Linked DNA regions of Caenorhabditis elegans. The protein of the gene in region 3 purifies or fractionates together with the protein of the main gene of each other region. This does not show direct contact. Each region holds a gene or a part of one and is shown on either strand. Other genes may lie near its edges.

Evidence for each region.
Region 1: the proteins of C29G2.6 (region 3) and usip-1 fractionate together in Caenorhabditis elegans (co-fractionation; one large-scale study listed by BioGRID). This does not show direct contact.
Region 2: the proteins of C29G2.6 (region 3) and ads-1 fractionate together in Caenorhabditis elegans (co-fractionation; one large-scale study listed by BioGRID). This does not show direct contact.

What each region holds. Positions count from the first base shown.
Region 1 is NC_003283.11:12,181,001-12,190,359, reverse strand, and holds usip-1 (U6 snRNA-specific terminal uridylyltransferase), read left to right. Parts: upstream 1-6,165; 5' UTR 6,166-6,184; coding exon 6,185-6,334; intron 6,335-6,387; coding exon 6,388-6,513; intron 6,514-6,561; coding exon 6,562-6,837; intron 6,838-6,895; coding exon 6,896-6,982; intron 6,983-7,028; coding exon 7,029-7,211; intron 7,212-7,253; coding exon 7,254-7,418; intron 7,419-7,464; coding exon 7,465-7,712; intron 7,713-7,761; coding exon 7,762-7,909; intron 7,910-7,955; coding exon 7,956-8,213; intron 8,214-8,267; coding exon 8,268-8,615; 3' UTR 8,616-8,859; downstream 8,860-9,359. Other genes in the region: ZK863.8 (UPAR/Ly6 domain-containing protein), read left to right, coding at 2,965-3,087, 3,422-3,538, 3,638-3,769; srd-4 (G protein-coupled receptor), read right to left, coding at 4,115-4,468, 4,514-5,015, 5,224-5,411; elpc-3 (Elongator complex protein 3), read left to right, coding at 8,950-9,069, 9,114-9,359. UniProt on the Caenorhabditis elegans protein: Acts as a specific terminal uridylyltransferase for U6 snRNA. Responsible for the addition of UTP at the 3' end of U6 snRNA which stabilizes U6 snRNA. Does not have activity towards modified uridine containing 3'-monophosphorylation or 2'-O-methylation.
Region 2 is NC_003281.10:292,618-303,226, reverse strand, and holds ads-1 (Alkyldihydroxyacetonephosphate synthase), read left to right. Parts: upstream 1-4,670; 5' UTR 4,671-4,695; coding exon 4,696-4,745; intron 4,746-4,795; coding exon 4,796-4,885; intron 4,886-5,334; coding exon 5,335-5,955; intron 5,956-6,018; exon of another isoform or gene 6,019-6,111; intron 6,112-6,381; coding exon 6,382-6,952; intron 6,953-7,001; coding exon 7,002-7,253; intron 7,254-7,303; coding exon 7,304-7,513; 3' UTR 7,514-7,573; downstream 7,574-10,609. Other genes in the region: Y50D7A.1 (F-box domain-containing protein), read right to left, coding at 2,482-2,628, 3,226-3,541, 3,586-3,667, 10,508-10,577; Y50D7A.13 (Peptidase metallopeptidase domain-containing protein), read left to right, coding at 8,705-8,762, 9,024-9,120, 9,171-9,303. UniProt on the Caenorhabditis elegans protein: Catalyzes the exchange of an acyl for a long-chain alkyl group and the formation of the ether bond in the biosynthesis of ether phospholipids.
Region 3 is NC_003283.11:2,580,030-2,591,046, reverse strand, and holds C29G2.6 (dct-5 family protein), read left to right. Parts: upstream 1-5,138; 5' UTR 5,139-5,152; coding exon 5,153-5,275; intron 5,276-6,612; coding exon 6,613-6,681; intron 6,682-6,746; coding exon 6,747-6,867; intron 6,868-7,680; coding exon 7,681-7,825; intron 7,826-7,954; coding exon 7,955-8,105; 3' UTR 8,106-8,173; downstream 8,174-11,017. Other genes in the region: C29G2.3 (DUF5683 domain-containing protein), read right to left, coding at 8,174-8,374, 8,422-8,472, 9,478-9,684, 9,739-9,887, 10,049-10,139.

The DNA.
Region 1 (9,359 bases), 9.6 Mb from region 3:
AAATCTAGATAAGACACTTTTGAATTTGTTTGTGAAGTTTTGGTAAATTGGCAAACTTTTGAAAAATTGGGATTGTCAAGAAATTTGGAGCTGTCTCGAATATTCGAATCCCTACAATTAAATTAAAACAGTTTAAATTAAGTTTAAGTTAAAACAATGAAAACATAATTAGAACATAAAATTTTGGTCAATGTACCTTAAGATTTAGATAACTCTTTTTCCTTATCTTTTTTACTGTAAATAAAACAATTTTTGTTGGAATATCTTGTTCGTTGGTAATTGGAGTTTTCTGGATTTGTATCATTTACTTGACTATTTGACAAAACAACTACAACTGAATCATATTTTCTCTAAAAATATTCGGTCAATTTCTTTAATTTTCAGAATCCGAACGGTGCACAATCAATATAAAAATTCTGGTGTTCATTGTAAATTTAACCTCTTTTTTAGAGATGAATTATACATAACCCACTTTACTTTTACTTTACCCGAAAGCTTACAACACAATTTTTGAAAGCAGAATACACCAAACATCTTCTCATTTTTTCGTTTAGTAGAAAAGTTAAAGTATCGAATTACTAACGGATAGGAACTTTTCAACTTTTCCCTCATCCTCATCTCACTTTTTTTTGAAAATTTTTACGTTTTAATATTGAACCGTTAAAACTGTCTAATTACTCTCCTTTTGGTCATTTGCTTGATAAAGTTTCGCTTGAGAAAGGCAGTTTCGTTTAGAAGTTTATTCAAAAAATCAAACTGACACTTACCAAAATTTGATCAAACTGTCGATACCTTACATTTAAAATTGTTCGGTATATGTCTTAAAAAAACAACATAAACTGGAACGAATCTCTTTGTGAAAAAGCAACAGACATTAGTTAAGCATTTTCATATTAATTACAGAGATGTAACTTTTGATCATTGCAGTTTAAAAAATTGAACTCTATATTTTCTGAAAAAAAAATGTAAAAAAATAATGAAGATTTTTACCGATATTCACCGCTGAAAATTTTGGAAACCATTTCCCATTGTCAGTTTTTACAGTTCAATTTTATCATTGTACAATGTTTCAGCAATTTCAAGCTAGAGTCTATATACTTGCTAAAGTCTATACATTAATGAAAGATCAAAATTTGCGCGCCACTTGTCTTTTTGACAATGTATTTTTAATCAGGTTTTGTCCAAATGTCTATTTAACAGAACAAACTTGTGTTCTTACTTTTTCATTTTCTTCAAGAATATCAGCAAACAAAAAATTGTTGCTCAACGCGTGAGCACGCGCGAATCCAAATTTCATGTGCTCTTTTTCTCTCGTTTTTCTTCAGTTACTTTCATATTAAAACAGTTTTATTGACAACCTGACAAAGTCGATGGTAAATGTTTGGGAGCACCATCGCAGATAAATCAAATTCAATATATATCGGCGGCTGATTTTGTTTGTTCTCTCGTGATAGCACTGATCTATTTTTGTGGCTTAGGGGAAAAGATAGAAAACCTTCTAATGTGATTAGGAATACATGTACAATTGGTATCTGGAAAACATTTTACTTGGTCTACAAATAATTGAACAAATAAATAAAATCTACAAAATTTGATCACAAAAATAGTAGACTGTTGTCTGAACTTTTCTCCGAATTGTTTGTTTTTTACTCGTGAAAAAAACAAAAAAAAAGATCCAGAAAAATGACGAAATTTGAAATAAACAATTTGAAGAGCAGTAGTTTTTCCAATGCCAAGTCTCTTTTCAATTTCATATCCAAGCATGACACGGTTTTTCATTGGGATTGGCAAACAAAAAAATGTGCCAAAAAAGTAAATGTTGATATGAACTTACAATGATCTTTTCTTGACCTTCTAAATTTTTCATCCATTACGTGGCATTTGATTGATTGTAAATACAACTGTAATCTTGTGAAAAACAACTCATTGAAACTATTGAATGCAAACTCAAAATAGTTTTGTCATCATTTTTTGCAGGTTTTAAGATTTTATTCAAGACATTTGAAAGTTTTAAAAAAGTTGTTGTGTGAATTTTTAATTCCAGTTTTCAAAAATTTAAACAATTTTGACATATTCGCTTCAGACGAGATTTCAAACCTTGACTTCTCAGTCTTTATCAATATTACTTCCAATATCAGAAATTCTTTACTGGTGTTTTCGATAAAAACGCATCGTACATATACAATGTTGCATCTGATCTAATTGGATGTAAGTGAGATTCCAGTCTCTGATTAAAATGAAGTTGATATAATTTGAGTCAGAATAAGCTTTTGATTTAGCAAATAACAAAACTAAAGAAGTGTGCCAACTCTATTTTTAGATAGCTCAATGCCAAGTTATAAATGAAAAGTTGCTGCCAACGAGGTCATTACTACTTTTATCTACGTAACTTGCAACAAATAGTTATTTGGCAAGTTTGTTTTTGAATTTTTAAAAATCCGCAAATATGATCAAGAAGCTAAATATTTATTACAAAAACACTTCTAACAGATCTACAACGTTCACTAAACAATTGTTTCGCAACTTTTTAGACTCTTTGCTTGTCTCAAAGTTCTTGCCCAAATGCCTTGTTTACTCATCATCCATCTTTTTGTATATTTCGTTTTTTCTTGATACTTCCCTTTAAAGTTCTTGAAAGTCCGATGAAAAATGCCAAAATGACCCGGTACACTTGACAACCAATGAGTAATACGCAAATAATTGAGAAGATCAACATTATTCGCCTTGTTCTCTACTTTTCACACCTTTTGGCAGATTGCGGAGATTCTCTAAATATTTCGCTCTTTTTCTATTTTCTTTTCCTCCTCTACCTTTGCTTCTCTACCTACAAGTTTACAATTTACAGGCTGCGCAAACAAACAAACGAAAAGAGGTGGAGAAGTCAACGACCTACCCAATAATCCCACCCCTCTGAATCTTTTATTTTACTTTTACATTACAGTCAGTTCGTTGTCGATTATAACCATGACCTCGTCGTTTGCTATTTTCACAATTTCTGCTCTTTTCTGCATTTTCCCATATGCCGATACACTTCGGTGCCATGATTACACAAGCACCAATTTGATGAAGAATCCAATGAAGACATGGGTAAGATTTTAAACGAGATAAGCAATGAGTTAATAGTCAAATTATCCATATTGCTGGAAGTAGTTGAAAAAACACGAATTTACTTATGATAGCCCATTAGTAAGAACATTTTTCATTATTTGAACGCCACTAGCTTCAAACTTTATCCGGTTTTAAAGATGAAAAAAAGTTATTAATCTAAATTATCACTGTATAAACTCGCTAGAGCTCAAGGTGATATGCAGGCACGGACGCCTGCTGACATACCTGCGTGCCAAAAGTGGACATCTTGGCTTGAAAATAAAAATGAAACTTCCAGCTCATCAAAACAAATAATTCATGCCAATATTTATAGGTCGACTGCCCAGCTGACGCTCAATATTGTTACAAAAGCTATTTGGAATCCAGAGATTTTAACAATGACAAAACTTTCGTCTCAGGAAGAGCCTGTGGATCCTCTAACCTTTGCATTGTAAGTTTTTATTTTTACCTGTGGAATTCATCTCTTGGCTCAGAGAAATTCTAATTTTGAGAAAGAAAACCATATTTATCAAATTACTAATTATTTCAGCAAAATGGATGCGTTGGAACTAACACCGATAAGGCCTGCTGTTGCCGTGGAGATCTTTGCAATTCATCATCACTCGTTAAACTTACTGTCTCTATTATGACATTGTTTGCCGTTTATTTCTTCAAAAATTAAATTTCTTTCATTTTTGGTCTTTGAATTTTAAAATACTCTTTCCTCAATTTTCAACTTGTGCTCAGGTGCTCATCTGGCTCTCTATTACTGTATCCATAATCTAAAACCAATGACCCAATTTCTTCTCATTCCGCTCATTTCTTCCCGGAGAACGAACATCAAACAGTAATAATCAAAATCGAATTCATGTGTCAAGTGTCCTTATAATTGTTTAAATCAAATGTAAATAATAAGTTCATCCAATAAAATTTTTATAAAATAGAAAACATGATCATCACTGAGATCAAATGAGTCGTTTTCACAAGGTGGATGAAAAATACTTTTTAAAAAGTTTAATTGGAATATTCAGTCAAATGTGCCTTTCTCCAATGTAATTGTGAATTTTGATGTAACTGATGCAACTGATGAATTATCAAAACTACCAAACATTGAAGAATTTGTATCACCAGGTGCAACAGAACATTCTCGTGACATGAAAATCAAAATTTTAGGATCAATTCCAACTGCTCTCATGACAGATTCTCGATACGGTTTGATAAAAGTAACGGTAATCAATGGATTGATAACGGGAACCAAAACGGCAAAAAGAAGTGTGAAACTTTCAAGAACTGGAGATTCAACGATCCTCAGCTGACCAAGTAGGAAACAAATTGATGAGAATATAAAAGCAATTGGAACAATAGTCTGAACTGTCAGTGCCTGCAATAAATCATATTTCAAAATAATTTACATTTTCAGACTAACCCAAGTCAGCTGTCTATGTTTTTCTCGAATTTCCGGACGGAGAATTGCATTTCGTAACTTGAAGTGTATTTTTCGGCGGAGCCCATACATAATCAAATATCCAGGGATAATTGGAATAAGCATTAGAAGATATGAAAACAAACACGGAAATTCTCGAAGATCAGCATGTCCATTTATAACAAAATCTTGTAATTTATATTGAGAATGATGAATTTGAATAAGTTGTCGAACATCTTCTGGCTTGTTGTTATCAATGAATACGAAAATTGCTTGCAAGTATGATGGGAAGTATATAATGCAAATTAAAATGATAAGCTGTTTAGCTTTTGGATATCTTTCCAGAAGAACATAACATCGGAATATAAAACAGAGAATTAGAAGATGAAAAGAATATGAATGAAAATGAAGTTGAAGACTGAAACCCAGAAAACAAGACCATTCACTGAGATATTTGCAAAGTCCAGTTGAAGCAATTCCAAGTGTTGTACCACTTGGGATTAATCTGAAATTAATTATATATAGCTCAACTCGCCATTGGAGTATAAAGAAAAAATTTGGGTTCTTTTTTGAAAGTGTAATCTCATGAATTATATATAAGCGTGGAAAACATGAAAACGGCCCTGCTTAATTTTGACATTATTGGAAGAAACTAGAGCATATCGAGAACATGGTGCATTGCTAGGAAATGCAAAATAAAATTTGGAAATTACCTTGATTGACTGAAAATATCAAAAAAACAAGCAAGTGCATCAGATCCACCTCTGACAGTCAATAATATAGAAAATGTTCCAATAGATTTAGGGCTTCTGAATAAAGTTAGAAAAATCAAAATCGTATTGAAAACAATTCCGAGAAAAGCGAGCACATAGTGTAGAATAAATATAACCAAAAGGAACATCTTTGTACATTTTTGATATTTTTACATTTATATACTAAATTCGATTTCCGATTTATGTTATGCTTGTCCTTTTATTCGAATCCCAGCAATCAGAATCGAATTTCCGTTTATTTTTTCGTTTGTAGACGAACTCAATTCCAAATAAAAAATATTATTAATTCAAATTCAATCTTTGAAAGACCGATGTTTATGGAATGATGTTTATAATTTTTAAGCAGGCATAAGTTTTGGTTGATTAGAAGGATTCTGATCAATCAATGCAAATAATTTCTAAGACAATTTTATAAAATTTATTTAATAATTTTTTTTAAAAACAACTTTTTCCCTTTAGAAAGGCAATGCAGAGAAAACTTACTAGACAAATACATACTAGTACTAGGTCCACAACTAAAATTTGTCAATAAAAATTTATTTGAAAATCCGCCACTTACGACACTCCGATATAACGATGCGCGTGTAGTTTATCAACTCAGTTTTTCAGTCATTTTTCGAAAAACTTTTTTATTGCGCGAATCTATTTAAAATTTGTTACTCTTTTTTTATTATTATTCTGATAAACGCAAAATTTAAATCCCTGAATGCGCACGTTCCAATTAATTTGTAACCTATAACAAAATGCAATGTGTTGTTTATTATAATGAAAATTGTTTTGCTCGAATTTTCGACGAAGATTCCCTAGTGTATTCGATTCCATGGCAACGCATGATTCCATTCTCCATCCTCTTTGTTTACCTAAAATTATATATTTTTCCAGATATTTCAGTTATGCGATAATGTCTTCAAACTTGCAACTGGTTGAAACGTTTGATAGTCGTCAATTCGTTGTTGCTCGTTGGAATCGAAATGATACGACAGCTATGGTTCCTTCTGCAATTGCTGTCGTTGTCTTCGTGGAGTCGGTTGAGTATAAACTTGGTTGTAAGGTAAAAAATATTGTTATGCTGTGAAAACAAGCATTTGAAATTAAACCGTTTAGGAGAAAATAGGATACTCTCCAACACCTGAAGATCAAGATCAGTTTATGATATTGCAAATGGAATCAATAGATGAAGCCAACAGGATTTGCCACGATTCCATCGCTAAAGGATTTGCAATCAACAATGTAAATAATTATTTTTAGCTGATTGTATACAATTCCTTTTATTTTCAGACGAAAATCGTGTTCACTCCCCTTCTAGGCTTGAACGGATTCAGACTTCAAGATGCCATTGATTTCATGAAAACTTCGCAACCGCACTTCAATAACGACGAGCTTTTGGAAGTGTTGACAATGGCTATCTGTCAAGAACTTCCTGAACGCTTAAAAATTCTCGAAGATGGATTTTCCTTCATTGAACAAGGGGTTTCTGAGCTCATTCAAAATTCTGCTTGTGAGATGTTCGGCTCTTTTGCATCACCGGTGCGGCGAAATGGTTACTCAGACATTGTAAGTTGTTAGAAAAATAATTTTATTTTATTTTATTAAGAAACAATAATGTTTTTAGGACATTAACGTGGAATCAGTCAGCGCTCCAGGTCAACGCGTTTCTACAAATGTAAGACCATTGAACGAAGTTGTGGCAAATCCAAAGGTACAAAAATTACTGTAAATTGTCCTGAAACAATATACAATTACAGTGTCTCATCACTCATCCACTAACCAAATCGGAGCTTGAGACATACCCACAAGAGGAAATTATCAAAATTCTCTACCGGTGCTTCAACGAGAACAGTGCATTCAAAACTAAATTCGAGATGCGTTTCTTACCTGCACGCACTCCAATCATAGTCTTCAAAAATATCGAAGTGGAAGGAATGAATGTATGTTGACGCTTTCAAACATTGATAATTCATTCATTTCAGGTGTCATACGATCTATCAGTTCACAATCAAATCAGTGTTGAGAAGGCGAGCTTGTTGCATGAATTCATCGTAAAAGACAAGTCGAAGGGAAGTAGAATGAAAAATGCAATGATGTTCATCGTACACTGGGCAAAATCAAATAAGTTGCTATCGGGTGACTATCCGGTAATTATATATTGAATTAGGCAGTTCTTAAACTTCATTATTTTAGGAAGAGAAGCTTGAAGTCAAGACAAAGCTGAACTCTTACATCATCAATCAGCTCGTTATTCATTTTGTTCAAGCAGCAACCAACAAGGTTCATGTGAATCCTCAAGCAAAGCGAGATTCTCGAGTCAATGAATACAACTTTGACACTCTGTTCGGCGATTATTGCAAGTTTTTCCGAGAGCTTTTCAAATACTATGCCAACTTTGATTTTACGAACAAAGCGATTTACGGGAAGAAAGCGATGCAAAAGTAAGTTAAAAACTAATTTCTCACAACTAATTTGTATATTTTTTTTTAGAAAAACACTCTCAAGTGCGCACGGAGGCGTTGAAGAATCTCCGTTGATGTTGATGGATCCCATGGATATTACTCATAATATTTCGGCAAAAGTAACAGAAGACGCGGTCAAACTACTAAATGGTCTTATTCGGAACGCTCTTTTCATTGTAAGCATTATTTTGATTGTTTATGGATTAAAAGTTATATTTTCAGTTGAAACAAAATCATTTTCACATCAACTATCTTCTGGAAACCAACACGATGGCTACTATGCTTATGAAGAGCAGAGAGCCAAAAATCAGTATATCAACTAGAGTAACTGATGGAGCCGAGCACCAGTACTTGTCAGTACAACTTCCAGCCGTGGTGATAACCTCGAGTGATCTTTTCCTCCTTCTTACTAGAGTTCTTCGCTTTAATGTCTGTCCGAATGAGCAAGGACCCAGTGTTGTTGATTTATGTACTCCAACGGTTAGTTCTATAGAATAGAAAGAATGTGACGTTTACAACTACTATTAATTTCAGGGTGCCATTTTCCTTGTAACTTCAAGAGCTTGGGTTGGACGTCGCAATACGAAACGCGCTTTGAAAAACTCTCGTCACGATTTGACGCCTCTCCAGATTGATGTTATGTGCAGTGACAAGTACGATTACGAAGAAGATATTGCGGAGTTGCGTATCTCGATGAGCACTGTTCCTGGCACCAGAATTAGGTTGGCATGCATCGATATAATGCGTGGTCAAGTTTCCGAAGTTCGCGACGCAATCCACTTTTTGATTGATCAATTCATTAACAATAACTACGATGACCTCGAGAAGAATGGCGTTCAAACCATTTCCAGGATTCCAATTGCAGCCCCAACTTGGCCATAATCATGTTCTCAATGTATAAGTGTTCTATGAATTCGATTTGTATGTATGATCCACCATATATTTTATTTCATATTTATTCCGGTATTTTTCTGACACGTCACCCAGTGACCATTTTCCATTGAATCTCAACAAATAATTTTTCCGCTTTATTATATTCAACACCCAACTTTCATGATCACTTCTCGGTCTGTGTTCTATTTATGTATATCGAAATTTCTAAGTTTGAAATACACTGGTCATCTTGAAAGCGATTTTTGAGTTCATTGTCGGTTAATATTCCAATTTATATCTAAAACATCAATTTGAATAGGAAATGTATCAAAACTGTATTCAGATGGATCAGAAGGGTTCACAAAGAGCACTACTGGCACAAACAATAAATGAAATTGTCAAGCTTCTTATTGAAGCTCACAATCAAAAAAAGGATGTCAACTTGAATCGGCTGAAATGCATCGTATGTGGTTAGGCGGTAAAACACATTTCAATAAATATTTTCAGGTTGCTCAAAAGAATGGACTGAGTTTTCAACCGAAACTCGTTGACATTATCGCTGGAGTTCCGTCCGATTACAAAGACAGCCTTCTTCCAAAACTCAAGGCAAAACCAGTTCGAACTGCTTCTGGAATTGCTGTTGTAGCAGTGATGAGCAAACCACATCGTTGTCCTCACATCAATTTCACTGGAAACATTTGTGTCTATTGTCCCGGTGGGCCAGATTCTGATTTCGAGTATTCAACACAAAGT
Region 2 (10,609 bases), on a different chromosome or scaffold from region 3:
TTAAAACAATTTCCCCATTGACGATGACTCCTTCTTTAAATGCCATTGTCTTATTAGTGAGATCTTTAGACGAATAGGAGAAATTGAGAGCCAAGAAAAAGGTTCCGTTTTTGCACCAATCTTTTTAGACCTCCTAGACTAGCGGGCCCTGCGGGCCCGCCAGTTGTAGGGGGTGTAAGGCGAGTCCCCTTGCCGGGCGTAGGCACTCGGCTTCGCCTCGAACCTGTTAGAGGGTTCGTGAAAATTTCAGTAGGTCAATGGGAGTCTTCTTGTTTTTTGAGTTCGGTTTGACCAAAAACAGATGCACCCGATGAATCAGTTAAAGCTGAGTTTTGATTGATTGAAGTTTGAGGAGGTTTTATATGGGGAGAGACGTACCCATATTTTGTATAAAATTGAATATTTCTATTCGAATCCCGATTACTCACAAAAAACAAAAAAATTTGTCACTTGGTAGAATTGAACCAACTACCAAAATTTCTGCAATCATACGCACTAACCACTCGGCCATGCCGAAAACACCTAAAACTGGGATGTAGGGAAGGGAAATTTCTGGAGGGAGTCGTTTTTCGATTCCGCTTTCTTCAATAATTACATTTTGAGAAAAGGCGTTCGAAAACCGTTTATTACTGATATGTCAGCGGGAAAACGAATTTTTGAAAATTTTATTACAGGATTGTACTCATTATTGATTTCCCAAAAAGGAGACGTACAGTTGAGGGCTATATCTTGTACACAGACAGATGTATAGAAAAAAACAAGTTTTGGCCTGAAAATTAATAAAAATAATATCTCTTGGCAGAGTATTTCTAATGCGACGAAACTTCATCTTCCATCAAATAAAATCAGAAACTATGAATCAAAAATACATTCCGCAAAACTTTAGTGGAAAAAATGTTCAGGAGACCCAGGAAACCACTCCCCCCAGTACTAAATTTTTGAATTATTTTTTTCTTGAAAAATTTTCCCACTGAACTTTTTACAAATTTTATATGTCTCGATGCGTCTTGATGAGACCTACACGTCATTTTTTAGAAAACTAAGAAAACTTGAAAACTGACCGAGTTATGATGGAAAAAGTAGATTCGCGAAAATGGGAAAGTGTGCAAAATGTGGCACTTATTCGTCTTGCTCGGCCGACTCATAGAGCTTTTTCCAATTCTGAGTTGAAAATCGTGTTCAGCGTACTTTTGTACGTGGGGTGAACAAAAAAAATATCAAAAAAGATGAAGTAGAACTTGAGATAATGACGAAAAACTACTTTTTCGGAAAAAAAATTTTTTTGGCAAAATGTCATTTTTTGGCCTTTTGTTTTATCACAACTTTTTTCCATTTGCACTTATGAACTCAAACTTTTTTTCAAAAAATCAGTTTCTCTGAGTAGTATCTTGCACATGAGTTTGAAACAAAACAGAGCAAAACCCGAATTTTAATTCAATTAAAACATGGTTTTTTGGGGGTAAAAAGAGCAACAAAAAATTTTTTCAAACTGGGGAAAGCCGTCCTGGGCTCAATTTTGCTCCGAACTTAATGCCGTTTTCTGCTCCACCGTGGGGCAAAATATTTCTAGTAGGATTTCAAATATTAGAGCATGAAGTCACACGGTTCAGGAGTTGTGAATGAAAACGAAGTGGGACATTTTTTCGCAAGCCAAAAAAAACGCGAAAAAGGGGCGGAGTCTGTACACTCGGCATTTATTAGAGGCTGCTTGGCAGAATTATGGAGGAACTGACTTTGCTGAATAGTGAAAAAGAAAAATGATGTTCAAACATTAGAGAAAAACGAAGAAACATCAAACTACGAAACAATGGACAATATTTGAAATAATCGGAAACACAAACACGATGTAGCACGTTGTAACACGGAAAAATTGATTCCTTAATGCTATTTTGCAGGTGAAGGGGCCAAAATGTCTCAAATAATGATGTGCTATGCATATTTAAACTATGCGAATAGGTTCCTGAGAAACTAAATTACTACTACAATATTAAAAACAATAACAATTTTTACTATTACCGGTACAGAGAGTGTAGATTGTTAGCGAGTGACAGACATCCGGGACCAAAAGGGGCGGGGCGCGGGAAGAGACGATTTGTGCCGATTTACGAAATTATGACAACGAGGAAAACTCTGTAAATCGACACAAATCGTCTCTTCCCGTGCCCCGCCCCTTTGGGTCCCGGATGTCTGTCACTCTCTAACAATCTACACTCTCTCTGTACCGGTAATATATGTTCCCAATAGTGATGAGTTTCATTTACACTTAAATAATGCACAAGACGTTGTGTCAGGCTGTCCCATGACGATGTGATCTACAAAAAACGCGGGATTTTTTTGCCAAAAAATGTAACGTCAGCACGCTCTCAACCATGCGAAATCAGTTGAGAACGCATTTTTTGTAGATCTACGTAGATCACACCAAAATGGGGCACTCTGAAACCACGTGGCACAACACGTTTTGCTCATCTTTATTTCACTTACACCCCACGTGACAAGTGACGCGTAGCACATTGCCGATGGATATGGTGCAGATGAGATTATCACTCGCGACCATTTCAATGTTGCCGTGTCCAGCCTCCAAAGGTCATTGAATACGGCACCGGGGGTATGCTCATCTCCATCGATGGCCTGGAAGAGAAATTGATAAGCATACAACACTGTTGGCTCAGTTTTTATTTTTATTTTTGGATCAAAAACCTTAGAGAATAGGCTGAGGCCCTTAGGTCCTCAGACTGAAGTCCAAAGGCTTAGGTCCAAAGACTTAGGTCTCAAGGCTTAGGATCTTAAACTAAGATCGCAACGCTTAGATCTGTAGGCTTAGCTCCACAGACCTCGGTCCATACACTGAAGCCCTTAAAAATAAAACTTGGAACAAACAGCTTCGATCCATAGGCTCAAGGCCAAAGGCTTAGCTCCTCAGACTTAGAAAAATAGGATTAGCTGATTAGGTTCAGGTTCATAGGCTCTGGTCCTAAGGTTTACCTCATTTCCTTAGACTTTGGTCCAAAGGCTCAGGTACCGAGACTACAGTTCCTAGGATCCTTGTTAGGCCCATAGTCTTGGGTCCTTAGGTTCTAAGCCGCAGGTCCATAGCCTTAGCTCCTTAGGCTTAGAATGCTAAACCAACGTTAGGAATAGCCTAGATCCTTAAGCTTAGTCCTTAGGCTTAGGCCGCTAAGCTTAATCGGCTTAATCTCAAAGTTTGTCTATCTTCATCGATTTTACCTCTCCACCAAACAGATAAAGCGATCTAGTAGGCTCAAAATATGTGGCACACGCGTTCTGCCTCTCCGACATGATCTCCACATCCTTCACCACAAACTCGTCGGCAACCTTGTCCAGCTGTCCACTTGACGATGAGGTTCTGGGGCTTCTGATCCTTCCAGCCACCACCTCCTCCTCCTCATCATCCGGGGAGCAACGCTCGAACTGGAATTTAGGGTGAGTATAGAACTCGCTGTGATCCATGAGCTTCACGTGTAAATCGCACAAGTCGGTGAGCTCCGGGCATATCGATTTGAGGGTTTGCAGGTCGGGATATCTGGAATCTGGAATTTAGGAGTTGGCAGCTGGGCTTCCGACTACCTCAAATATCGCAGAACCTTGTTCAGCGCTGGCTCCGGAAGTCGTAAAAAATATTTCTCATAACCAAACTCGGCGATTCGATCTGAAAATATGAAACTTCTCGCTTTTCCGAAAGACAATTCCTGTTCGAAAGCGGAAAAGAAAACGATTTTAATCTGCTGCTGGCGTACTTTGTCTGTGTTGGTGATAAGCGGGTGAGTGAGGGGGGTTTGAAGACAGAAAGAGGTGATAAGGTGTACACATATACCACTTGCACGACGCTCTATTGTAGGCAAGTACGGAGGAGTGCGAGTTTGATTGATTTTTATTTGATTTTGGGTTTATTGTTGAATATTTTTGAATATTTTTGAATTTCAGTTGAAAAATTCTCTCTTTTTAAGTTTTGGCCTAACTCTAATTGGACTAATTTTGTGTTCAAAGATTATTTTTTCAGAAAAAATCTCATTTTCTTTGAAAAATTTTGTTAGGTCTCAAGCTTTGATGCTCAAAATGTTAAGTTAAAGCCTTTTCAACGATTAAGGCAACTTTTTCCGCACAGTTTCTAGGAGTCGTCAGGTGATGCCAGGCTGTCCCATTACGTTTTGATCTACAAAAAATGCGGGAACTTTTTGTCTAAAAAATGTGACGTCAGCATGCTTTTAATCATGCCAAATAAGTTGAGAACTCTGCGTCAATTCTCCCGCGTTTTTTTGTAGATCAACGTAGATCAAACCGAAATGAGACACTCTGACATCACAGTCTCCAAACTTTTGACAGCAGCCAAATTGGTATTTCTGCTTAAAATTGAAATTGCTACCTATTTTCCGTTATAGGTAGAAGTTTTTCCCCTTCTAGAGCTAGTTTTCCCAAGCTTTCAGGTATTTTTAGGCTTTGCAAGTCTAAAATTTCCACAAAATTAGAGAATCAAATGGAAAATTCTATTGTTGACCACCATCATGCCTCCGGTACACTTAATCACAACCATGATAAGATTAAACTAACATATGATCGGTTGAGCACCTGAAGCTTCTCGTGATTGTACTTAGGTTCCGTATGAAACCCCACTTCCCACGAACTCAGAAATTCACGATCTCGGTTCGATTCAGATCTTCGCCACTCGACTTGCAATAAATGTCGGCGTCCTATCAAACAATCGAGCACGACGTGCCGCAATCTTATCGGTAACCTCCTACACTGTCACTCTTTTTTTTTGAAGCATTTCAATTTACAGCGACAAAATCCTCAAGTGGAATGGCTGGGGGTACAGCGATTCACAGTTTGCGATTAACAAGGACGGACATGTCACTTTTACCGGGGATAAGTGAGATTTCAAGGGATTTGAGCAGATTTAAGCCGGGAGTTGGCTGAACTTGTTGAATTTTCAAGCTCCAACTTACACTAAAAATAAAAAACAACTGCGTGGCGTGTACGCAGAAAACCCAAAATTTAGGCCCCGCCTTTTTCTCGTCTACTCACGGGGAAAAGGCAAAATTCGGGACCCCAACCAATATCGGGCCGCCGACATCTCACGGATTCCGCGCGCTGCTATGTTTAACTCGCAGCGGGCGGAGACAGCTCGCCACGCCCATAGCGAGTTAAGCGCAGCGGCGCGCGGAACTCGTCAGATGTCGGCGGCCTGATATTGGTTGGTCCCGAATTTTGCCTTTTCCCGTGAGTAGACGAGAAAAAGACGGGGCCTAATTTTCGAGTTTTCTGCGTACACGCCACGCAGTTTTTTTTTATTTTGAGTGTATCAATTTCTAATTCCAGATACGAAATCTCCGGAAAAGTGATGCCACACTTCCGCCCGTGGTTCGAGAACTACTTGGGCATCGATCTAGGCTTCGTAAGCCCAGCCCAGAAGCTTTCGGACGTGATCATCGATGCCCCTGTCGAAAATGAGGATATCATTGAGTTCCTGCAGGAAAACAAGATTTCCTTCTCGAATGAGGCAAGAATCAGATTGATGAGAGGTCATGGGCATACAGTTCACGACATGATCAATTTGAGAGAGGGAAAGATCCCGAGACTTCCGGATATCGTTGTCTGGCCGAAAAGCGAGCATGAGATTGTTAAGATCATCGAAGGAGCAATGAGCCATAACTGCGCGATCATCCCAATCGGAGGTGGTACCTCTGTCACAAACGCTCTGGATACCCCAGAAACCGAAAAACGAGCTGTGATCTCTATGGATATGGCACTTCTTGACAAGATTCTCTGGATTGATCGAGAGAATTTGACTTGCCGAGCTCAAGCTGGAATTGTCGGGCAATCGTTGGAGCGTCAGTTGAACAAGAAGGGATTCACATGTGGACATGAACCGGATTCCATCGAATTTTCTACTCTCGGAGGATGGGTTTCGACTAGAGCCAGTGGAATGAAGAAGAACAAGTTGGTTATTATGATTTTTCAAGTTGTAAACTCAAAAAACAAGCAAAAAACTCGAATTTTTGTCTATTTTCGGTTGAAAAACTCAAAGATTTCCCGAATTTCTGTATTGCTGTCCGCAAATACGGTACTCCAGTTTTGACACGATGGTATTTTTGGCATAAAAACCACAAAATTTCGGGTTAATTCCTTTCGTGTTATCGAAAAAATACGATCGCACAATTTTCTCATAATTTATTTTTGATCTACCTGTTGAACTTGACTCCGCCCCTTCCTTCGACAAGACAGCCATAACAAAATAACAACGGCAACAAGTTTGGGGGGGGGGGGGCGGAGTCAAGTTCAACAGGTAGATCAAAAATGAATTATGAGAAATTTGTGCGATCGTATTTTTTCGATAATACTGTACAAATTTACAACAAATTCCAGATACGGAAACATCGAAGACCTCGTCGTCCATCTGAACTTCGTCTGTCCAAAAGGAATCATCCAGAAGCAATGCCAAGTCCCAAGAATGTCATCCGGACCAGACATCCATCAAATCATTCTGGGGTCCGAGGGAACGTTGGGAGTGGTGTCCGAAGTCACAATCAAGATCTTCCCAATCCCAGAGGTCAAGAGATTCGGAAGCTTCGTGTTCCCGAACTTCGAGAGCGGAGTCAACTTCTTCCGCGAGGTTGCCATTCAACGCTGTCAACCAGCATCCCTTCGTCTTATGGACAACGATCAATTCGTTATGGGACAAGCGTTGAAGGTGGCTTCAGATTCTTGGTGGGCTGACTTGAAGAGCTCCGTGAGCAAGATGTACATCACATCGTGGAAGGGTTTCAAGGTCGACGAGATTTGTGCGGCCACGTGTGTCTATGAGGGAAATCGCGAAGAAGTCGATCAGCATGAGGAGAGGCTGAATAAATTGGCCGAGCAGTTCCACGGAGTTGTCGGAGGCGCCGAGAATGGTCAATATGGATATCGGCTTACTTTTGCTATCGCCTACTTGAGAGTGAGTTGGAGCCGACGGGTAGATCAAATTTTGAATTAAATCGTTTCAGGACCTTGGAATGAACCATGGTGTGCTCGGCGAGTCGTTCGAAACCTCAGTTCCATGGGATAAGGTTCTCAGCCTTTGCAGGAATGTCAAGGAGCTGATGAAACGCGAGGCAAAAGCTCAGGGAGTCACGCATCCAGTTTTAGCGAACTGCAGAGTCACCCAGGTTTACGATGCCGGAGCCTGTGTGTACTTCTATTTCGGATTCAACGCCAGAGGATTGAAAAATGGCCTAGAAGTTTATGATCGTATTGAGGTAAGCTTTCGATAAAACGCCCCTGATCTCGGAATTGCCCTTATTTCCAGACAGCCGCCCGTGACGAGATCATCGCTTGCGGTGGAAGCATCTCACATCACCACGGAGTCGGAAAGATCAGAAAACAATGGATGCTGACCACGAACGGAGCAGTCGGAATTGCGTTGTTGAAGGCTATCAAGAGTGAGCTGGATCCGGCGAACATCTTCGCCAGTGCTAACTTAATTGATATTATTGGATCACCGCATTGCAAGTTGTAGATAATCATTGTTTCGTTTTTTATTATTATTGGATTTTGAAACTTGAAGAAATAAACTTTTTTGAAAAAATAATCGTTCAGAAGCTCAAAAATTGGCTCAGATGCCGGAATCTAGCTCAAAAGCTCAGAAAATTCAATTTTTGTAGAAAAACTAGTATTTCGCCTGCCGAATTGAATTTCGATGCTCTAATTTTAGCTAGGAACTTCTAAATTTGGTTTGGATCCTCAACATTTCGTTCAACAGCTCAACTTTGCTCTAATTTAGCTCTAACTCCTTTAAAATCACAGTTTAGAAGCTCAACTTTTGACTTCTGAACGCATGTGGTGTCAGGCTGTCCCATTGCGGTTTGATCTACAAAAAATGCGTAAATTTTTTGCCAAAAAAAAATGTGACGTAAGCTCTTAACCATGCGAAATCAGTTGAGAAGTCAACTGCATTTCTTCTCCCGTCTTTCTTGAAGATCAACGTAGATCAAACCAAAATGAGACAATCGGACGTGTGAACGTCCACGTGGTGTCAGAGTGTCCCATTTCGGTTTGATCAACGGATATCTACAAAAAACTTTGGGCTTGAGACGCAGAGTTCTCATAATGATTTCGCTGGGAAGAACGTGCTGGTCACATTTTCTTGTGCAAAAAATTCCCGTCCTTTTCGTAGATCAAACTAACATGGGACAATCTGGCACCACGTGCCAACGTCCAATTTTGGTAGGAATCCACATATTTCGATTGAGAATGCAAATGTTCCCAGTTTGAATCCCAGTAAAAACGTTTCACTTAGAAAAAAAAGTGAAAAGCATCAAAGAAAGTTGTAGAGCAGGCCATCAATCATTAACTCTACCACCAATCACAGCTTCTCCTCCAAACTTTTCGTCCATAGTTTGTCTTTTTCAACGACTTCTCTCAACTAATCGCCACCGCTTATCCCATCCGAGAAGCTGGTTTCTTGCGCAACGACCATTAAAAAGGCGAGAGATTCTCTCATTAAACAATCAGGAATTATCAAGACACATCTTATAATGCATCGACGATGAGAAAAATGAGAAAAACATTTGATAACATATGTGGGGGAGGAGGAACGAGAAGCATAACGGCTTCTTCTTCTTCTTCTGCTGCCTCGTTTTTTATATCTCCACTATGCTATCATTTCGAGGAAGAAGAGATCAGATGAAGAAGCAGACGATTTCAAAAAATGAAACTTTCCGATTATTTGGTTCCGCTGATTCTTCTGCTAGATCTTCGTGTCAGTGGTAGGTGAAGCTTCCACAGATTTTAGTCTAGAAATTAGAGATTCTGTCACAATTTCTGTTGAAAATCGTGCTGTACACAAAATTCTTCGTGAAATTGTCAAAAATCGGAGTTTTCCGGGGTTTTTGCAAGTTTTTACTCGTTTTTTACAGATTTCTGATAAAATTCAGAAAATCTGAAGTTTTTTTGAATCACAATTCATTGCCGGCACACTCGGCTCAAAATTGCAACCCAAGCTTCTACTCTGATCCTCTAACTTCCAGAATGCCGAACCCTGCGCCGTTGGAGTCACCGAAGGATCACCTGGTCATTTTCTGATCCCTTCCGGCTTCTGACTGCCCATCAGTTCCAGGGAGTCAGGTAGATCAAACTTTGAGGGGCAATTCCATGAAACTCTCTCAAAATTCCAGGTTAACCGTACAAGAAGCCGTCGCACGATGGGCGATCGCTTTGGAAGGGCTCGTCGAGTTCGAGGAGGTTCCTGTGGTGGATGCAGCCGATATTACGGTGCTTTTCGCGAAAAAGAATCATTCTTGCTACGAGGTAGGTCGAATTTTAGTCTAAAACTTAGAAATTCTGCTCAGGAGCCGGAAATTTGGAGCCAAACTGGAAAATTCAGTTTAGAAATCGGAGTTTTTATTGGAGAGAGCTCCTCAAAGACTCAAAATTTGACGGAATGTTCAAATTTCGGTTTTTTTCGGTGAAAATGCTCCAAATTTTCAGCCAAAAGCGCTGAAACTAGTGTAAAATTCGAAAGTTGAACCGGAAAACTGCCGAACTAAGAAATTTTCAGTCAGAAATTGAAATTTTTCAATGGTTTTCCATTAAAACTAATGGATTTCGCCTAGACTAGATCTTCAGTCAAGCTCGGTGAAATTCGATTCTACCACAAAATTTGAGTTTTTCAGTGAAAGATCTAACCTTTTTGTCGGATCAAGTTTTAGCCAGAAATCCAAAATTTTGATCCAAACTGGTAAATTGAGTCTAGTAACCGGAGCTTTTGTTGGAGAGGCTCAAAATTTGGCGGAAATTTCAAATTTTGCAAAATGATTCCAAATTTCGGCTTTTCGGTGGGAAGTCTAGTCGAATTTTGAGCAAAACTTGCCGAAACTAGAAATTTGGGCCGGAAAACTGTTGAGCTGAGATACTTTTAGGCGGGATTTGAATTTTTTAATGGATTTCCATTAAAACTTATCGATTTCACCTAGATTTCTAGCCAAACTTGCTGAAATTCGATTCTACAACGAAATTTGAGATTTTCAGTGAAAGATCTAGATTTTCAGTCGGATCAAGTTTTAGCCAGAAATCGGAATTTTGGATCCGAACTAGAAAATTCAGTTTAGAAACTTGAGCTTTTGTTGGAGAGGCTCAAAATTTGGCGGAAATTTCAAATTTTGCAAATTGAGATCCGAATTTCGGCTTTTCGGTGGAAAGTTTAGTTGAATTTTGAGTAAAACTTGCTGAAACTAGAAATTTGGACCGAAAAACTGTTGAGCTGAGATATTTTTAGGCGGAATTTGGAATTTTTCAATGGTTTGCCATTAAAACTTATGGATTTCACCTAGATCTTTAAATTCGATTCTACCACGAAATTTGAGATTTTCAGTGCTTTTCCCACCAAAACTTATGAGATTTAACCCGAATTTTCAATCAAATTTGCTGAAAATCGAGTCTTAAGCTTGAAAACTGCTGGAATCGAACCCGCGTTGCCATAAAACCCCCAGGAACCTAAAATTTTGAATTTTACCTTCCCAAATCACTGATTTTGCCCCTGAATTTGCGATTATCTCGAGTTGACCGTCTGGTGATGGTTCCATCGTAGATTTTCTGCAAAACAAAAAAAAAACTC
Region 3 (11,017 bases):
TAGTAGATTTGCTTCTTTGCACAGTTGAAATTACACGACAAGCATTCAACGATCATCCTGTAATATGTTCAGCTAAAAAAGAGCTTTTTCCAGAAATTTTTTGTTGAAAACTTTTTTAAAAGTCTTATTACGAAATTCGGTAGTTTGGGCTCTTTTTGTTAGAAAAAAGCTAAGTCTCAGATTTCGGTACTCCACCTTTAATTGACGGAATTCGAGAAAAAACAGTTAAATTTTGCCAGGTCTCCAAAAGGTGGTTTTTTTGTCTTTTTAAAGTTAAATCGGGCAATACGATGCATTTTCTGTCACTTAAAGCAGACAACGACAAAAATTTGACTCTACTCTCCCTTTAATATTCTAATTTTTTTCAACTCACCTTTTCTCCACATTCACATAATTCTCATTGTCTTGCTCATCCACAGTCGTATTTTCGTCAAAATCATCGTCTCCCTCCTCGAACCCATTCACCTTTTTTCCCATATTGTCTTCTTCTCCTTCTGAATCTTCTACATCGTCTTCTTCTTTCGTCTGGTCATCATCTCCCACATCATAAAACTCTTCATCAACAACGGTTTCACCTTCCTCATCACCAGGTTTGAGAGTGACAAGCGCAATTGCCTTCTCAACAGCTCTTTTTATACTTCCTGTCGTGTGCATCTCGGCGGGAGTGATTACCCTGAAAATTTAAAAATTCGTTTTGTGGTTGAGAACTGAGTCTGGAAATTAAATGTTAAACACTATTTGAATGAAAAACGATGTTTTAAAATAATTTTTCGGCTTGAATTATGAAAGTGAGAGTATGTAGAACATATATTATTAGAATACTAATAGGCGGGAACAAGAGAGAAATATGAGGCAAAAGACAAAGTAGGAAAAAAGACAAAGTAGGAAAAAAAAAGGGGTAAACTGTCACTGAAGCCAGCAGAAAAGTCAAGGCATGAGCTAATCATTGCCTTGGATAGGGGAAATATACGCGGGGAATCAAAGGAAAGTAAAATACAAATATACGCGGGGAGATCAACAAAGGTAGATCAAAACTAAATTTGTGGGTAGATCAAATGATGATAATGGTAGATCAAAATTAAATTTATATGACGGAATCGAAGCCCTAATTTTCGGAATCAGATTTTATCAAAAACAGAAAATTTGTTAGGGTGTTTAATTCCGAAAATGCAAAACTGTCGATGTTCGTTATTAGTAGTGGTAGGTCCAACGTTACAGTCACATGCCGACTGTGAGACACAGGTGAAAAGAGAGTTTATATATGAGAGAGTGCGCGACGATAAAAGATATGCAAAGGGGACATTTGTTTGTGTGAAAACATCGAGGGACCATCCAAGGATATAGACATGTGCAGAGACAATGCAGAGATGAGAGAGCGCTTTATACAAAATTCTAGAAACTTTGAAAATATTTTATACCCGTAGATGTTTGTAGAATTTTCCAAATTTGTTTAAAATTTTAAAAATGCATCAAAATTTCTGTAGAACTATCAAAAAGTGCTTTAAAAATTCTGCCAATTTGAAAAATTTCATTTTCAGAGTGTTCGAAAAACTATTGGGGAAACTATTGGAATTCAAACTTTAACTCAATTTTATGTTGTTTCACTTGAATTTTTTGGAACAAAATCAATATTTTGAGCCATTTTTTGTCCAATTTGGGGTGTGTACGGCAAATTTCAAAATCCATTTTCTGAAATTTGCTGTGCCCTGGAAGTTCGAAAAAATTTGCCGCAAGCCCCTGGTTTGGAAACAATTTGAATTTTTCGTAAAAATGTGATTCTGACTATTCTTTTTTCACTTTCTGAACTTTTCCAATTATACAATCAGATAGATCAAAACGCCAAACAGTCAACCTTGATTCCTTTGTTGATTCCAAAACCGAATCGGCATATCACCAAACTACACACAAAGGCAATTATCTAGACAAAAAGAAATAATGATTTTTGCTTAATTATTCCTAGAGAAATTCTGTATGTTTCATTAAAATGCAATAATTTTGTGGGAGATTTTTTTATAACAAAAACCTTATTTTCCTTCTGAAAATTTTGAATCTAAAGTACACCCATTACCAAGAAACATTGTTTCTAATTTGTAGCCTACAAGAATTCGTTCAGAAGTTTTGTTCAAATAAAAAAAACCAATCGGATAGATACAACTTATTTTACTTTTGCAGTAGAAAGTCGTTCAAACTGAATTGAAAATATTTTTCTGGCGCTTTTAATTTTTGTTTCAAACTTTGCAAATTTTTAATGTAGTTTTTTAATGTAGTATAATGTTTAGAAAAATTTTTTTTTTGACTTATATGGAAATCTAGTTATACATCAGTATTTAAATTTTAAATTTAGCGCCCACCAATCGGCGACCGTGTAATTTGCTGATTGGTCTACGCCAGCTCTTTTTTCAAAACTTTATTGTTATAAAGTTGCAAACTGCAAATTTTCGGTTGTGGCGAGCGTCAGCTCGCTACTGACGCTATTTAGGCTTAGTTAGGCTTAGGCTAAGACTTAGTCTTAGACATATTCTTAGGTTAGGCGAGGACCGAAATCCCCAATCATTTTCTAAAACAAAATAATTTTTTTGGCAATATAATTGATTTGATAAGCTCCTATAAAAGTTGATAAATATTTTTAAAAAAATCTGAAACACTAGGCTTAAAAAATTTTTAATTTTTTTCGATCAGAATAAAATTATCTGAAAGATATCAGTTCTACACTTTCCTAGCTCAAAATGCTAGAAACTCAATATTCAGTTCCTTGTTTCAAATAATTTCAAAAAAAAAAATGTTGCAATATCTGGTCTCTCTCTCCGCCGTCCCTCCATGCATCTCTCATTCATCATCGATCCCGTAAAAGGCGTGAAACGCGTGCAAGATGTCGTCGTGTTTCTGATAATGATCACAATGAGAGACTGGATCCTCCCGTCTTTTTTTTCAACCGAAAAACATCAGGCGCCCACTTGTTATGCAATCTTGTTTCTCTTGCCATCTTTAATGAAAAGAAAATATATCCATTTTTATCTTCTCACTCATATCCGACGGATTCTTGTATTTTTATGCAATCACTTGTTATTTTTTTTTGCTGTTCCTGGAGTTTTGCGCTCGAAAATATTAAAGCGTTAAAACTAGTTTTTTTTGTGCAAAAATATCTAATTTTGAAAATTTTCAAAAACTTATAATAATAAAATTGTTCGGCTTTTTTCGATCGTTGAAAGGAAAAAATTATTAATACAACGAATATGTTACTAAAATTTGAAATTATTTTATATGCACCCGAAAAATGGTAAGAAAATCAGTCTCATAGTTTTAGAAGTCAGCCAAAAAAAATTATTATATGAATTTTAGGTACTTATGGGTTTCGTTCCCCCAGTATGTTTTCCATAGTTTTTAATAGAGACGTGAACTTTTTTTTCATTCTCAGGCTTAGGAAGATGGTTTCCTAAGCCTGAAAATGAAAACAGTATTAAAATAAACTTTCACGTGTGGATTAAAATTAAAAATCCAGTATTAAATAATTGAATGAACATTTTGGGGGGAACGAAACCCATAAGTACCGAATTTTATAAATTTTGAAGTGTGTACTTATTTTTTAAAATTCAAGTTGTCTTTGCCATATTCCAATTTAATTTGACATTTTCATTGCATATTGTAAGCATTTTTCGAAATTCAAATTAGGGGTGGACTGCAATTGTGTTCGGCAAATTTTTTTCTCGACAAATTCGGCAAATCAGCAAATCACCGGTTTGCCAATTTGCCGGAAATTTTTGTTTTCGGCAAATTGCCGGTTTGCCGATTTGCCGAAAATTCTCGTTTTTGGCAAATTGCCAATATGCCGGTTTGCCGAATATTAATTTGCCGGAAGTTTTTAAAGGGTTTTTTATAAGGCGGAAACATTTAAAACTGTGCCGTTTAAAATTTTTTTCCCCGTTTTCTTTAGATATTTTCATTGAATTTTCTTTAAAAAATTTCCAAAAAAAAAGTGCAAAACCACAATTTTCCGCATTTTCTGGCAATTGCAGTTTTTCCGGCAAATTCGGCAAATTTTTTGCCGGTTTGCCGATTTCCGTTTTGCCGATGATTCAAATGTTAAAATAATTATTTTTTCAAATAGAATTTTTTTGGGCGATTTCCAAAATTATGATGGCACCTACCACTTTTTATGACTCCTTAAAAACTTTTTCAAAAAATTTTTTGAAAAGTTTTACTATTATATTTGGTCATTTTGGCAATTTTCTAAGTAGTTTTTGGAATCCGATTTCCTTTTTCTAAACTCCACAGCAAAGTATATCAGGAGAACAGTATCAAATTAACTTCCACACACACAGACTCACAAAACAAAACAAAAAGTCCAAAGTGACATTGTGATAAACCCATCAACGAAAACATTCTCCTTCTGTCTACCGTCTTTTTTGTTTCATTTTTACGGAAATTTCTGTTTTCTTTTTTTCTCTCTCTTCAAAAAATTGAAAAATCCCCAGGTGAACCTCCCTCTTCTCATTTTAGTTCCTTTTTGTTTTTTAAATACGGGCTGTTTACTTTGTTAGAATTTGTTTTTATCCAGTTTAAATTTTTCAGAAATTAGATTTTTTAGACCGAAATTAGTCCTTTTTGTAATTAGATGTTCTGAAAATTTCTCAAAAAATTATTATTGCGGTTAAAAGTTTTGGAAAAACGGTTTTGGCCTAGGCTTAGGCTTAGGCTTAGGCATAGGCTTAGGTTTAGGCCTAGGATCAAGCTTGGCGTCAGTGGCGAGCGTCAGCCAGCTACTGACGCTATTTAGGCTTAGGATTTTCCAGTTTTTTGATTTTTGATTAGGCTCAGGCTTAGGCTTAGGCTTAGGCTCCGGCTTAGGCTTAGCCCTAGGTTTAGGCTTTGGCTCAGCTTTAATTAATCAACTTCTAGATGAAGACAAAAAAATTCCTGCTATTTTCGGAAGTTTTTTTGATTTTCCGATTTCCTTCATTGTAGCGCATTTATCATTAAAAAACAAAAAATCACCAAAAATTTTCAAACTATTTTGTCATCGTTACACTTCGTTCTAGTCCCATTCTTTTCCAAAAGTATTTTCACACCTTCTTATCACCTTATCTGATCTTTGAAAAAATCAAAATTCCGGGCTTCAATGTAGCGCTTATCAATTCCAGGGGAGCAACAAAAAATGATAACCGACTTTTTATTGGCGTTTTCAATTTTGGCAGTCTCCACCACTCTTGGCGTGTCAAATCTCAACAAACAGTGCAGGGATCTGTTGCAGTGCTCAATTCAGAAGAAATGTGTGAATGTAAGTATAGGGCGCAGCCGGCAAAATCCAGGACCTCTCGCACGGTAGAACAGGATCTAGAAACATTTGATGTGCAACTGCTGCAACCGTAAAAATTTCGCTTTGTTCTGTGGAGCGTCTTTGCATCCCCTGGAAGCTGAACCACCATGTTTGATTTCCCGAATTGGCGGGAATTTAAAATTCTGAAAAATGTGACGTCAAACTTATTTCAGCGCACATTGTAGATCAATCTAAAAACTAGAGACTTGTATAATTATAGCTTGAAAGAATTAAACAAGATTATCAAACACTTTTTAATTTTTTTTTAATTCCCGCAAATTCGGGAGATCAAACATGGTGGTTCAGCTTCCAGAGGGATGCAAACGCGCTCCACAGAGCAAATCGAAATTTTTAAAAAATTGAAATTTTGGTTGTTAGGCCCATGCTTGGTAATTTGGAGCATGTCTATGCAAAATTTTGTGAAAACACGGTTCCCGGTCTCGACACGAATTTGTGTTACATACAAAAATGTATGCGCCTTTAAAGATTACTGTAATTTAAAATTCTCATTGAGGTGGAATTTTTATTAGTTTTCTTGCAAATTTGGTTTTGTTTAAAATTTTTGTTTAAAAAACAATGAAATGGCTTTTATAAAAATTGATAACTTTCAAAATTCAAGAAAATTTCTTAACAACAAAATTTTTAATCTACAGTACTATACTCTTTAAAGGCGCACACCTCTTTGGGTTTATCAACAATTTGTCGCGTCGAAACCCGGGACTGTATCTTTGGCGCAAGAAATTGTAAAACTTTGAGTCTACCTAATTAAGCAATACCTAACTTAACTTTTTGTTTTCTACGTTCTGCTATGATTCATTCGGTTTTTTTTCTCGGAAATTGATTTTTCAAAAATCATGGCAAAACAATTTCACAAATCTATTACCAATTGGGCGAATAACCACTCGGAAACTGTTCAAGATCACGAGATTAGTCAAATTCAAACTAAAAAATAAGGAAATCATTTTTATGTTTCCCAGTAGATATAACTAGTTTGAAAAACTTCAAGCTACGAACTACAAACTACAAACTACAAACTACAAACCACATAAACAATTATGCATCATTTACTATATATAAAGTAGAGTTTCCTTCCGTCCAATGTAGGCTATGCCAACACGCAAAATTACTCACTTTGAAAGTTTTCATTTTCAAAAAAATCAAATTAATTTCAAAATTTCAATGTTATTTTCAAGGGGTATTTGAAATTTATTCCAGCCAGTTGGATGCGCCGGAGGCGCGGTCAGCGTCTGGTATTACATATATTGATTTTTGGGTGTTCCCAATTAGCAAACTTTCAGCTGCCCGTTCTCTCGAAGCTAGTCGATGGCAAGAACATCTCTGCGGAAATGTACGACGATATTGATAAGGTATCAATCATCAAGTCTTCATTATCGCTGAACACACCCAAAACCCCTATTTTTTTCTGTTGCAGTATACGGACTATGGTTGCATTTTTACCACTGGTTGCCAGGACGAGTGTAACGATTGCCCGTTGTGTTTGACGTCCAAACTGCAAATCGTCGACATTTTGTCGGGAGAGAAATCGTCGGCTGGTCAGTTTTTTGGGTGGACCGAATTTGATTTTTTGATTGGAAGTTAGCTTTGCGGCCGACAATTCAAAGGGTGATGAAAATTCAAATTTTCTGAGAACCAACTTTGAAGGGAAATTCAAATTTTCTGAGAACCAACTTTGAAGGAAAATACAAATTTTCTAAGAAAAAAAATTGTTTCGATTAAAATGTTCTGAGAAAATTTTTTTGGCGGAAATTTAATTTTTATTGAGAACATATTTTGGTGGGAAATTCAAATTTTTGGAGAAAAATATTCGGTGAAAGTTCAATTTTTTAAAGAACATATTTTGTCGGGAAATTCAAATTTTCTGACAAAATTTTTTGGCGGGAAATTCAAGTTTTCTGAGAATTTTTTTTTGCGGGAAGTTTAAATTTTCTAGAAAAAAGTTGTTGGAAGGAAATTCAAATTTTTTGAGAAATGTTGTGGCAAGAAGTTCAAAATTTCTGAAAAATACATTTTGGCAGGAAATTCAAATTTTGTGGAAAAAAATTTTGGCAGGAAATTAAAATTTTCTGAGAAAAAAAAAGTTTGGCGGGAAATTCAATTTTTTATGAGAAAATATTTTGGTGGGAAACTCAAATTTTTCTGAGAAAACTTTTCATATTCTTTTTAGGAATTAATTACATGTATTAAAAAAGCTCAAAACCCTGAACCTATGCAAAAAATTCTCCAAAAATGTTGAAATTTGCCGAAAACTTGCCTGAAAATTAAAAAAAAATCTAAAATTTTTTATAGTGCAATTAAGATCTTTGGCCATGTAAGACTAAAATGTACTAAAATTAAAAAAATTCCAGAATGTCCCACTCTGATGGACTGTGCCTTAAAATGTGTTGCCGAATCGAATCAAGACATTTTCCAAATCAATAAGTGCCTACGACAGGACTGTGCTTTCCACTGTTTCGATGGCTCTTGCCCAAAGTGCTCAGGGTTCATTACAAGGTAATTTGGACAAAAAAATCTCAAAAACTATATTAAGTAGCGGCCGACACCTCGCGGCTGCACATTTTATAGAAATCGACACCGGGGAGGTGTCGGCCGCTACCCAATCGCAATACTTGTACTTTTCAGAGTGTTCAACCAAATGTGCGCGGCCGGAAACTTCCGCCAGAAAATCAAGGGCTACTCAGGACCGTGCTACGAGATGTTCCACGAAATTGTGCGCGCCAAGTTTGCCGACCGGTTCGAGAAGAATGGAAAAACACGAGGACACAGTGGATAGAGTTATTTTGATTTATTGTTGATTTACATAATTTTCCAATTGTACATATATTTTTTGAGAAAAAAAATTCAAAGCAAGTTAACAGAAATCTCATCGTTGAACAACAGCTTCTTAGCCTCCAGCGCAGATTGAACGGACCGCCCGATTTGTTTCCATTGATTCTCAAAAAGTGGCTGACTTGCAGTTGCAGTTACGGTCATTGATTGAACAAACGGCTGAGCACTGACCCCAGCAGCGGCACGTTCTCGCGGTAGAGCACGTTTAAAGCGCTGAAAATGTATAGAGTTTATTGGATTTTCAGATGAAATCAGCTTACAATGTCTTCCTCGGATTTAGTAGTGGTTGCCACAGTGGTTGGAGCTAAGGTCTGAAAAATTCGAGGGAGGATTGTGGCGGGTTACTGTAGTGGTACGGTAGGGATACTACAACTATTTTGGAAATTTAGAGAAATTTCTGGAGTTTTCTTGATAAAAAACTTTTTTTTTAATTTTGGAAAGCCTCACAAACTTCTAAAAACTAGGGAAGTTTCCGGAAATAATTGTCGCGAATTTGGCAACAGAATATTATAATAAAGCATTTCAAAAAATTTTAGATTTTCCATTAATTTATGTGTTTCCCTCTTATAAAAATCCATCTAAACACTTCCGGCAAATTGATATCAGGCAAATGGCAAATCGGTAATTTGCCGGAAATAAATTTTTTTTTGGCAAATTGCCAAATTTTTGAGCAATTTTTTTTCGTATGTTTCGTCCCCTAAAATTGCTCAACACAAATAATTAAATTAAATTAAAGTATAAAAATCGGTGGAAAAAACTTTTTTGGTCGACTCCAAAAGCGGCAAAAACTGAGAAATTGCCACTTTTTGACAGTAAATAAAAAATTATTTAAAAATTTTCTTGATAAGTTTTACTATGATATTTAGTTATTTCGGCACCATTTCGGCACGTTTTAAAATTTATTTCCGGCAAATTACCGATTTGCCATTTGCCTGATATCAATTTGCCGGAAGTGTTTAGATGGATTTTTATAAGAGGGAAACACATAAGATATTTAGTTATTTCGGCACCATTTCGGCACGTTTTTAACAATTTGCCAACTGTCGCCTAATGCTGCCAGGGTAGGCAGGTGCGGTTTCATAAGCTGAAGCCTGCCTCAAACCTGGTGACCTTAAGCCGGTCTCTCGCCTCATTTTCGCACTATGGCGAGAAGTCAGCGGCTTGGTGTTTATACTACGCTATACGAAAAATGGTTTTTTTTCAACGCGGCCGATACTATTCGGGTTCCGCGCCGTATTATACAGAAGGCGCGGCTTGCTGCGCAAGGCAGACGCAGCAGGCATTTTGACACCTACATGAAAGCCTATTTTCCTTACCTGTGTCGTGGCTCCAGAAACCGGCGCTACCGTACTTCCACCTCCAATTGAACATTTATAGACAATTGTTCCAGAAATTGCGATACTTGTTCCGTCGGTAAAACACACTTCTCCGTCGGCAATTTGCACTTTTTGGGGGACAAATGTAAAGTTGACGGTTGGAGGTGTTGAGAGGTAAAGCTGGTTGACAGTTAGAGCTTTTGATATCTGAAAAACGGTATTTTCTTTAAAATAATTCCTCTTGTAAAACCGATAACTCACAGCCAAGTCCAAGTCCGTTTTCACCTTTTGACTTGCTTGCTCAACAGTTAAAGATTGCCCGGGAAACAGGTCAGCTTCATTTGGAGGGTACGTATAGGCAAGTGGTGCAAAAAATGAAATACCAAACTCCGAAGTGGCAGATGATGAACCTGAATATGTCAAATTTTGAATTTACTGGGAATCAAAAATTGCTGCGGCCGACACCTTTCGGGAACAATTTTAAAAAATTTACAAAACCCGCAAGGTGTCGGCCGCATGAATTATGACTACCTTGCACTTAAAAAACACCTAATATTTTCCAAAAACAAACCTGAAATATCAGATCCGCATGACCAAACGAGTGCGGGATGCTGAAGCTGGAGAAGAAATCCGACGAGAAATTGCATTTTTTTGGAATTCATTTTTTTCTGTGAAAACGCAGCAATATTCACAAGCATTTATACTCAACTTCCCGGCATATCAAATAGTTGTAAAATAATAAAATGCGTTATTTATCTTGCAAATTTTGCTTTTTTTTTGGTCAAATGTTTGGCAGAGGAACACACCTTTGAGACATTTTTACTCTGACGTCACAAATATTTATCTTTCTAGCAAGGTATATTCTATAGAAGCCTTGGAATGTATTTTTGATGAAATTATTGATGAATTTAATACGTTTTAGTGAGGTGAGGAATGGGGCCAGGTACACGTTGTCATAAATTTTTTCCAAAATTGCAAAAAAGTGTATTAAAAAACAGATTTCGCTTGCCGATTTGCCAAAAAAAACAAGGAATGCCGAAATTGCCGAAACTTAAAAATCAACAAATTGCCAAAATTGCGAGAAAAAAAAAATCAAAACTTGAAATTGCCAAAATTGCCGAAATTGCTGATTTCTGATAAATTCAAGAAATCAGCAATTGTCGAAAGCTGAAAAAAATTAGGTAATTTCCGAAGTGTCTCGAAGGTACTTTTCCGATTTCTGCCCCCCCCCCCCCCCCAAAAATGTTTTTCAATTTTTTAATTTAATTTAATTCACACGTGAATGTTTATTTCAATAGTATTTCAATTTTTAGGCTTACTATAAGCCTGAAATTACAAAAAAAGTTCACGTTTCAAAAAAGAAATTTTCGAAAACATTTTGGGGGGCAGAAATCGGAAAAGTACCGTCTCGAATTACTAAAAATAAAAAAAAAGCCAAAATTGCCAAAATTGCGAAAAAAAATAAAATCAAAACCAGTAATTGCCAAAATTGTCGAAATTGCCGGTTGGCAAAAATTTGAAAAAAAACAAGAAATTGTCG